2 linked regions of the Sus scrofa genome follow. Each later gene encodes a partner of the first gene's protein in a complex. Links are inferred from orthologs where the notes say so. Each region holds a gene or a part of one and is shown in the gene's direction. Other genes may lie near its edges.

What was found. Proteins that work in one complex are often made in the same cells at the same time.
Region 2: the proteins of GNAI2 (region 1) and CCKBR are in contact, whole or in part, in a cryo-EM structure (PDB 7F8V), measured with the Homo sapiens proteins. The link is inferred for Sus scrofa from reciprocal best matches to the Homo sapiens genes GNAI2 and CCKBR. Residues at the interface, in NP_002061.1 of Homo sapiens: Glu28, Ala31, Arg32, Glu33, Val34, Lys193, Leu195, Thr220, Phe337, Thr341, Asp342, Ile344, Ile345, Asn348, Leu349, Lys350, Asp351, Cys352, Gly353, Leu354, Phe355; in NP_795344.1 of Homo sapiens: Thr87, Thr89, Arg152, Ala155, Ile156, Pro159, Leu160, Ala162, Arg163, Val164, Thr167, Ser169, Ile241, Gly248, Leu249, Lys328, Val331, Leu335, His394, Arg396.

The regions. Positions count from the first base shown.
Region 1 is NC_010455.5:32,711,402-32,715,721, forward strand, and holds the start of GNAI2 (guanine nucleotide-binding protein G(i) subunit alpha-2), read left to right. Parts: upstream 1-1,471; coding exon 1,472-1,589; intron 1,590-4,320. UniProt on the Homo sapiens protein: Guanine nucleotide-binding proteins (G proteins) are involved as modulators or transducers in various transmembrane signaling systems.
Region 2 is NC_010451.4:3,416,645-3,420,918, reverse strand, and holds the start of CCKBR (gastrin/cholecystokinin type B receptor), read left to right. Parts: upstream 1-1,405; 5' UTR 1,406-1,496; coding exon 1,497-1,641; intron 1,642-4,274. UniProt on the Homo sapiens protein: Receptor for gastrin and cholecystokinin. The CCK-B receptors occur throughout the central nervous system where they modulate anxiety, analgesia, arousal, and neuroleptic activity.

The DNA.
Region 1 (4,320 bases):
TTCAACAGGTTTGCTGCATGCAGGGCCTGCCTGAGATTTGGCTCCAGACAGGAGGGAGCCCTGGGGAGACCAATGGAAGGCTTGGAGGACAATGGCTGCTCAAGGAGGGAGCAGATGAGATACGGACACACACACACACACACACACAAGGGAGCTGAAGCAAGGTGTGTGCCAACATGGTGAGGAGGAAGTCTATGCTGAAAAAGACTGTGGGTGGCCAAGCATTGATGACCAAATATTGGTGGCCAGTTCCCTTCCTGGCTTTGTGAACCTTCCTTGTCTTTGAACTGGGGCCTCGTTGCATCAGGTGACATCTCTCCCTATCTTTTTCCCTCTCTCTCTCCTCTTTGGGTCATGCTTGCTGGGTCCCAGGTTGGAGTCCCAGGATGGCTACCTGCAGGAGAATACCTCCCAGAAAATCAGAAAAGGATGGATGTCTTGGATGATTAGAGAAGTTATCCCAGTTGAATGAGATAGTCTGGGCAAAGGTGGCATTAGACCTTTTTCTCTTTCTTCTTTTTCTTTTTCTGTCTTTTTAGGGCCGCACCTGGTGCATATACAGGTTCCCAGGCTAGGGGTTAAATTGGAGCTGCAGCTGCCCGCCTACGCCACAGCCACAGCAATGCCGGATCCGAGCCGCATCTGCAACCAACACCACAGCTCACAGCAACGCAGGATCCTTAACACACTGAGCGAGGCTAGGGATCGAACCTGCGTCCTCGTGGGTACAAATCAGATTCCTTTCCGCTGAGCCACGACAGGAACTCCTCTCTGTCTCTATCTCTCTTTTTTTAACTGCAGCTTTGAGAGAGAAGGGGCCAAACCCACTTTAAGACGAAGAAAAGCGGCAGTCCAGAGAGCCTCCGGGGCGCTGTAGATCCCAAAACAAGTTTATTGGGTTCATTAACTTTAACAAATGACGAAGACACGCCTCCTCTACTCATCTCGCTCGACTCTCAGAAGCTTGGAGGGCTGGTTCCTGCTTGGCCCGCGAGGTGCACCGGATCCTCATCCTCGGGCTACGAGATCCGCCCGCCCCCGCCGTCGGGCAGCGGAGCTCCAGGCGCTCCGCACCCAATCGGAGCCCGGCCCCGCCTGCGATCAAAGCTTCTGTGCTAGGCTCTACCCCTACAGCTATCCCTTGGCGTGGCTCCGCCTTCAGCCCGCACCGAGTTTGGGCTGCGCCTAACTTCTCCCTCGAGCCAATCACTGACCCCGGGTCTCCTGTGGCCCCGCCTCCGGGCCCGCCCCGGCCCAGTCCTCGGCCAGACTAGCTCGGGCCCCACCCCCGGCCCGCCCTGCCGTCGGTGCGCGGCGGCCTGGAAGGCACCGCCTGCAGACGCTCGGAACTGCGGACCCGAGAGCTACCCGTAGAGGGCCGGCGGCGGCGGGAGCCGAGTGGGTCGGGCGGGGCCGAGCCGGGCCGGGGCCGTGTGGTGGCCGGGCAGCGGCCGGGCCGGCGGACGGCGGGATGGGCTGCACCGTGAGCGCTGAGGACAAGGCGGCGGCCGAGCGCTCCAAAATGATCGACAAGAACCTGCGGGAAGACGGCGAGAAGGCGGCGCGGGAGGTGAAGTTGCTGCTCTTGGGTGAGGCCGCGTCCTGCGCTGGGACCCCTGATTCCCTACCCAAATTCCCTACTTTGACCTGCGGACTAGTGTTTCGAACTCCCACACTCGGCCTGGACTTAACCCCGTAGACCCGCCTGGCAAGGACATACAAATAAATAATGGATCAAAACTCAGGGTTGGCCTAGACCTCTCAGATCCAGAGCCCAGACTCTAGATCAGACTCAACTCATCCCAAACCCCGGGCCCCCAAACCCAGACACTGGTGCCTCAACATCCGCTGCCCAGAATTCTGTCTGACCATCCACCCTTACTGACCAGCCTCATAGACCTTCGGAGCCTCTGCCTTGTCTTTACATCCTTACCTAGACTTTACCCAAACCCCCAGAATCCCATTCAGACCCCATCCTCAGGCACCACCTGTTCCCTCACTAGCTCCCCCTCTTCCTATTGGGCATGAGTATCTCCAGGGGCCCCTCCCAGGCCCCCACTCACTCCCTCCTTTACCCTCTGTGCCTCATCTTCATTCTAGACCCTATATCCTCCACCTGTGCACCTTGACCCCAAGAGACCTCTCAAGTGGGATTTTGGTTTGAACTTATCAAATGAGATGATTACTTAATAAGCTCTCCCTCCAGCCTTTAGAGACCCCCCCCTGCTCCCTGCTCTGCCTCTGCCTCACCGACTCCCTCTCTGCATGCATCTCACCTCAGATCCTCTGCTCCCCAGCTCTTAAGTCCTCTCTCACACTCTGGTCTTTTCTAGATTCCCCCACTCTTCCTGCACCAGGTAGGCTGAGCTGGGAAGACAGGCCCCAGACACCTAGGGGGCTGGACTGAGGCTCCACTTGGTCACATCCGGGAGGGGACCAGGCCTCAAGCTTCCCAGAGAGTTCTGCGGGCTGTCTATCTGCTTCCTAGTTTCTAAGCCCTGTCTGGGCCGGTGGGTGGGGGGAGGGGGTGTCTGGGAGTAGGAAGGAGTGTGGAGGAGTTCGGGTTGCGTGGCCTCCAAGGCCAGGGAAGATGGTGGCTGCTTGAGGGGTGGGGGGAAGTGGAAGTGGTGAGACAGCCGACATATTGCTGCCCCCGGCGGGCAGGCCAAGGAGATCTGCTGACGGGTGTGGGCCTCCCACACCCCTTCTGGGCCCAGCGGCCTGGGACATGGCCTCTGGGAGTAGGTGGGCTTGTCGGATCTTGCCCTGCGAGGGAGGGAGTGGTGGACCAGCTGGTTGAATAGTTGGGGGCCCTCTAGGGTGGGCATCTGAAGTGGACTTGTGCAAAGACTGTGGGTCTGGTAGTGGTCCCTGTCCAGCCTCCCACTGCGAGCAGGTGTGGTGCCCAGTGGCAGCCTGATTTAGAGGGATTTCAAGGGGGAGAGGGGAGGGAGACCCTCCTGGCATCGTTGGAGGCTGGACTGTATATGTGGGGGGGTGTGGCCCCTCATCCCCAGAGCTGTCTTGGGGTCCCCAGGCTGTGAAAAGTGGGGCTTTTCACGCCGGGCGTATGGCTGAGAGACAGGATGTCTTCCATCCTGGGCTCATCTGTTGACTGTCCCTGGGGGCCCGGCCTCAGGGGCACAGCCCCGGAGATTTCAAAATGGCATCCGCTCAGCCGCCGCCGCTGCGGGGAGGAAGAGAAGGGGCGGGAAGGGGCGGCGGCCCAGCCTCCTGGGCTGTTTTGCGTTGGGCGCTTGCCTCTTCCTGTCTCTGCTGCGAGTGCGGCAGCGGCAGTGAGTGGCAGTGAGTGGGTGTCACCGCGGTGGAATGCCCATCTCTGCTGCCCGTTGGGCCTGGGGATGGTGCTTCCGGTACTGCTGCCTCCCAGTGCCCGGCCGGGGGCCTCTAGCCAGCCCCTTCCAGGCCGATGGCAGTTATGGTGGCTCCTGAGGAGACCTGAAATTGGGCCATGGAGCTGGGGCACACAGAGCCTCTGGCCTGTTCCGCGTCTTGACCCTATCCCACCAGTCTTGCTCCTTGAACCCCAGCTCCTGTTTTGGGCCTGGAGACCCCTCCCATACTGGGCTGGCAGCAACCAGGGGTGCTCAGCATTTTCTAGGCTGGGGAGTCCATCTCAGCATCCTGGCCCTCTGGCCTTCTCTTCCTTTGTGAAATGGGCTTCCTGGGTTTGGGCCAGAGGAGTGCTGTGTCCAGGATGGGGAAAACAGGGCCCTCGTGGAGTGGGGGTTGGGGGCTAAGATCCTGCAGAGGATGCATCACCAAAGGGGCTGGAGAGGATGCACCACCAAAGGGGCTGGGCCACCAAACTTTGCCTGAAATTGAGGACCTGATCTGCCAGGGCTGCGTGGGGAAGGGTCCTGGCTGGCCATCCCTTTTCCATCCAGGCACAGGGAGGTGATGCAGTTGAGCCCAGCTGAGGCAGCTTCAGAGTGCTGGGCTCCTGTCCCACGTAGCGGGAAAGACTCTGTCCAGGCAACGGGACTCAGGCTGGGCAATTGCCAGCCTTCCCTCCCAGCCAGAACCACGCCTGCTGCCCCACCCGCATACTGGCTCCTTCCTGTCCTGGGTAGCCCTGCCAGCGAGCCGGCACAGTCACTGTCACCAGGGCAGAGGCAGATGTGGAGCACAGTGGCAAAAGAGTTTTTCCTGACAGCTTGGTAGGGGGAGCAGAGTTGCTGATATCAGTCCTACTTCAGAGATGCCCTCTCTCCCTCACCACCCAGTTCAGCTTGACTGATCACCTATCCCCGGGTATCCCCAACTATCCCCAGTGCCCTTGGGCTGGGCACTTAGGGG
Region 2 (4,274 bases), on another chromosome or scaffold:
CACATCAGGCTGCTCTGGTGGGGAAGGCAGGCAGTGCCAGGAGAAGGGAGGGTGAGGTGACACCAGTCTCAGTAACCTCAGGATTAAATCCTCCTTCAGTTCCCACCCCCTACAAACTCCGTGCTCCCGGGACTGAGTCCTCTCCAAAGGACGGATTGAACAAGACTCTGAACTCCCAAACTCAGACTTCAGCCCCCGTCTAATGTGCTCACGGACTAAGAACTCTCGCCTCTGACAGCTGATGCTGGAGGCTGGAGAATGGAATTCCAGGTCCTAAGAGCCTTTCTTTGGAATGAAGAAGAATGATATCCCGCAGGGCTGAAATATTAGAGGAGGCAAGTCCTATGCCAGAAGCTGAGCCCACCGCGGTGCTGCATGCACCCTTGGGTTTCGTCCCCGCGGCACCAGGGCGCACTCGCCCCCTTCCTGCCCCCTCCCGTGGGAACCCCATGCCCTACAACAGGTTGCTCCACCTGCAAACAGGGAGCGTGAGTGTGTCGGGTGAGGGTGGGCGCTGCCTGGAGACCAGGGCCGAAGCCAGCCGCCTCTGCCCAGGTTATGCCTACACTCGGCAGGGGATGGAACCGTGCCCCACTCGCTCGCTTCCCACCCTACCCGCCTTCATCCCGGGCAGCTCTCACCTCTACCCACGCCGCTTTCAACACCCGAGTCACTCCTCCTCTGGACATCACTCTCCCCGACCAGGGTTCCCCGGGGACAAATGCCGCCCTCTCCCCACCCTCACCGTTGCGTAGGGCTTCTTGGGCCCTTTGGGCAGAAGCCTGGGTGTTGGGCCTAAGGTCGGAGCAGGGGTGCGGGAGCAGGTGGAGGGGCTACCCCAGCTCGGCGGCGAGGAGCTGCAGGGAACTGCCAGCGATGGTGTCGCCGTCCCTGCGGCCACTGCGACATAGTAAGTCACCTGCAGTGCTCCGCTGGGTCAGGGCATCAGCGCGGCCGCCAGTGCACCGCCCCTCCCCAGCCCAACCCGGTCCCAACGGCCACCTCCACGTTCTCGGTGCCACAAGGTAGCCGCGCCCCTACCCCACCCCTCTTAGGATCGCTGCTTCCCAACCTTCCTCCCCGAAACCTCTCCATCCAACCCAACGCGCGCGCGCGCGCGCACACACACACACACACACACACACACACACACACACACACACGAGAATTCCCAGAACCGAGACGGTGGTAGAGGGGAGTGGGCGGGAAGGAAATCTTCCCAGGACTGGAGGACAGTCACATGGGGTGGCCGGGGGCGGGGGCGTGGAAATAAGTCCGGAGCCGGGGAGCAGGGCGGAGGGAGAGTCACCTGGCGGGACGGAGGCGGCCCCGCGCCCGGGCGGGGCGGGCAGAAGAGGCGCTGAGGCGCGGGGTTCGAGGTTGGGGCGGGGACCAGGCGGGGCGCGAGCCTCGGCCGGAGGCGCCGCGGGCGCAGGTGGAGCGGCCGCGGGAGCCCGGCCGGCCGAGCGCGGGGAGGCGGCGGCTGGGCCGGGGCCATGGAGCTGCTCAAGCTGAACCGGAGCCTGCCGGGCCCCGGGCCCGGGGCTGCCCTGTGCCGCCCAGAGGGCCCCCTCCTCAACGGCAGCGGCGCGGGCAATCTCAGCTGCGAGCCCCCACGCATCCGCGGAGCCGGGACCCGAGGTGGGTGCCTCCCCGAGCCCCCTCCACGCTGCACCCCGCGAGGCCGACAGAGGTAGTCGGACGCCCGCGCTGTCCCCTCGGAGTACCCCCCTCAGTCCCCAGACAGCTCCCCTGCCACCTTTGTCCCCCTAAAACTCCATCGCACCTACGCACTACCTGGTCAGAGCCCTTTCACGCCCTGCTCCCTGGCCACCCTGTAGCTTCTGGTCACCCCCAAAACGCAGCGCCTCCTAGTCAGAGATGGGGAAGGGGAGGACCGCCCCTGGCCAATCTTCCCAAGTCTCTCCTGTCCTTTTACACCCAGTGCGGGGAGCCACCACGGGGAAGGGAAGGGAGGTGGGAGGACGAGGTTGGGGTAAGAGGGGAGCTGGCTCGGAGAGGGAGCACTCCAGAAGGCCTGCGTGGGAATTTGAGTTACAGTGTCCTGCGTCCCCCCGCCCCCCCCCCACAACCCCTTGCCACCCGGCAAGAGTACCCCTAACCTGAATTAGGCTGGACATGGGACTGGGGACTGCTTGGGGGCGGGGCGGGGGGGAGGCTGTCCCCATTTCTCTCATCCTCAAATCCCCTTGCCTCCCAAGTGGGAGCTCTTCTCAAAGCTCTAAACCCCCCTGCTTTTTGCTGTCTCCAAGTCCTTTCTAAGCCCCTCCTCCAGCCCACCTCCCCTTAGGGTTCACCCTCCTACAGCCCGGCTGCCCACTTCATCATCCTATCCCTTTGTGCCACCTCCCCCCCAACCCCCACTGCTTCCACACACCCAGTCCCCAAAGTGACTTTCACTCTTGCCATCAGCCAACACCCACATTTCCTTGACGACCCAGCTCAAGTCATGGTTTTCCCCTTCCAGTACCTTTTCTTTCTTAACTGGTTCCTGGACACCTGCAATGACAGTCCCGGGGCCACGGGCTGGGTACACGGGGATGCACTAGACCCAGGCTGGACCCTCATCTCCAGTGCAGGCAGGAGACAAAAACCAATGGGAAAATGACATCAGCGTGGGACTCCCCAACGAAAGCAAGCAAATCATGGGCAGTCAAAGAGGTGGGGTCTGAAAACTTCACAGAGGGCTCCTTGAAGTTCAAGTTCCATGGGCAGAAGAGGAAGAAATAGGATGCCAGGAGAGGGAAGAGTGTTAAGCAGAAGGAAATGATTCCAAGCTCAGGAAGGGAAAGTGGGAATAAATTGTAATGCAAGTATTTATTCCCCCCCCCCCGTAAAGTATCGCATGCTTCTCAGATCGGTCGCTACACGCGCTCTTGTTGTTACATTGAGGTTCTTTTATTCAATAAATATTTATTGAACCAGAGATGGCGCTAGGCATTAGGGACATGAGGAGAGCAAAACTGACAAAGCTCCTATTTCAGGGAGCTCACAGCTTAGTGACAGAGACAGACAAGTAAGCAGAGAATTGCCAGTCAAGGCAGGCAGTGCCTTGAAAGGGGTGTGGGAACACAGACGAGGCATTCCTGCAGCCTGGCCCAGCCTTGGGAATCAAAGTTGGCCTCCTGAAGCAGTAAAGCATAAATTGAACTAAAAATTAAAAAGCCAAGGGAAAGCCAGCCAAGCAAAGAGGCAGATAAGGCAAACAGCATCTCAAGCAAAGGAATCGTAGATGCAAACACCCAGAGTTTAGGTCCGTGGCCGTTTTGTTCGGTGTGTCATAGTTTCTGAGTGCCTGAGACAAGTACCGGAGAGGAGAGTGATGAATACTCGGCTAAAGAACAGGCTGGAAGCTTTCCAGAGAGCCGTGTGGACCTAAGACGTGCGGGTTTTATCCTGAGGGCTGTGGGAGCTGCCAAAATTGCAGTACTACTGCCAGGATTAGTCCTGCAAAGCAGAGGATGGACTGGAGGACAAGAGACAGGAAAGGGGCCTCCTTTAGAAGGTTCTTATATGACACTGGTCCTGGCGAAAGATGATGCTGGCTCAGACGAAACGACTGGCAGTGGATGGAGAGAAATGGATGGATCTGAGAGGCGCTTCCGGAAGTGGCATCAACAGAACTTGATGATTTATTAGAAATGGTGAGAAGAGGGCGAGAGGTGACACCCAAGTTTCTGACATGGACAGCTGGCTGGATGTTGGGCCTATATTGTGAGAGGGATACAGAGACACAGAAACAGGTTTGAAGGAGGAGATGATTCATTTAGAAACCCACTGAGTTTAAATGAGGATGGGGTCGGATGAGGAGAGACTGGCATCCTTCAGACTCGGTGACAAGGAAGCCCTCAGAAGGTGCTGTGGCTGTGAAGGCCTGACTGGGACAGGCTGAAGTTTGGGCCATGAGGCAGGGGTTCTGAGAGGGGGACCACGGGGTGTTGACAAAACTTATCAGAAGTTTGGTAGAGAGAGAGACAAAGGAAAACCAAGACAGTGCTCGAAATAGCATGAGATCGAGGAAGAGAGAGAGAGAGAGAGAGAGAGAGAGAGAGAGAGAGTGTGTGTGTGTGTGTGGTTTGTCTTTTGAGTGTGTGCATAGCAGAGACAAGAGCATTTTTAAAAGTTGATGGAGATGGGCCAAGAGAGGAGGAAGGCTGAAGTGCAGAAGACAGCGGCTAGTCTGTGAAGCGGTTCAGGGCACAGGTGCAAGAACTGGCCTCCCTCAAGGGGACACTGCTGCCCACACATTTGGC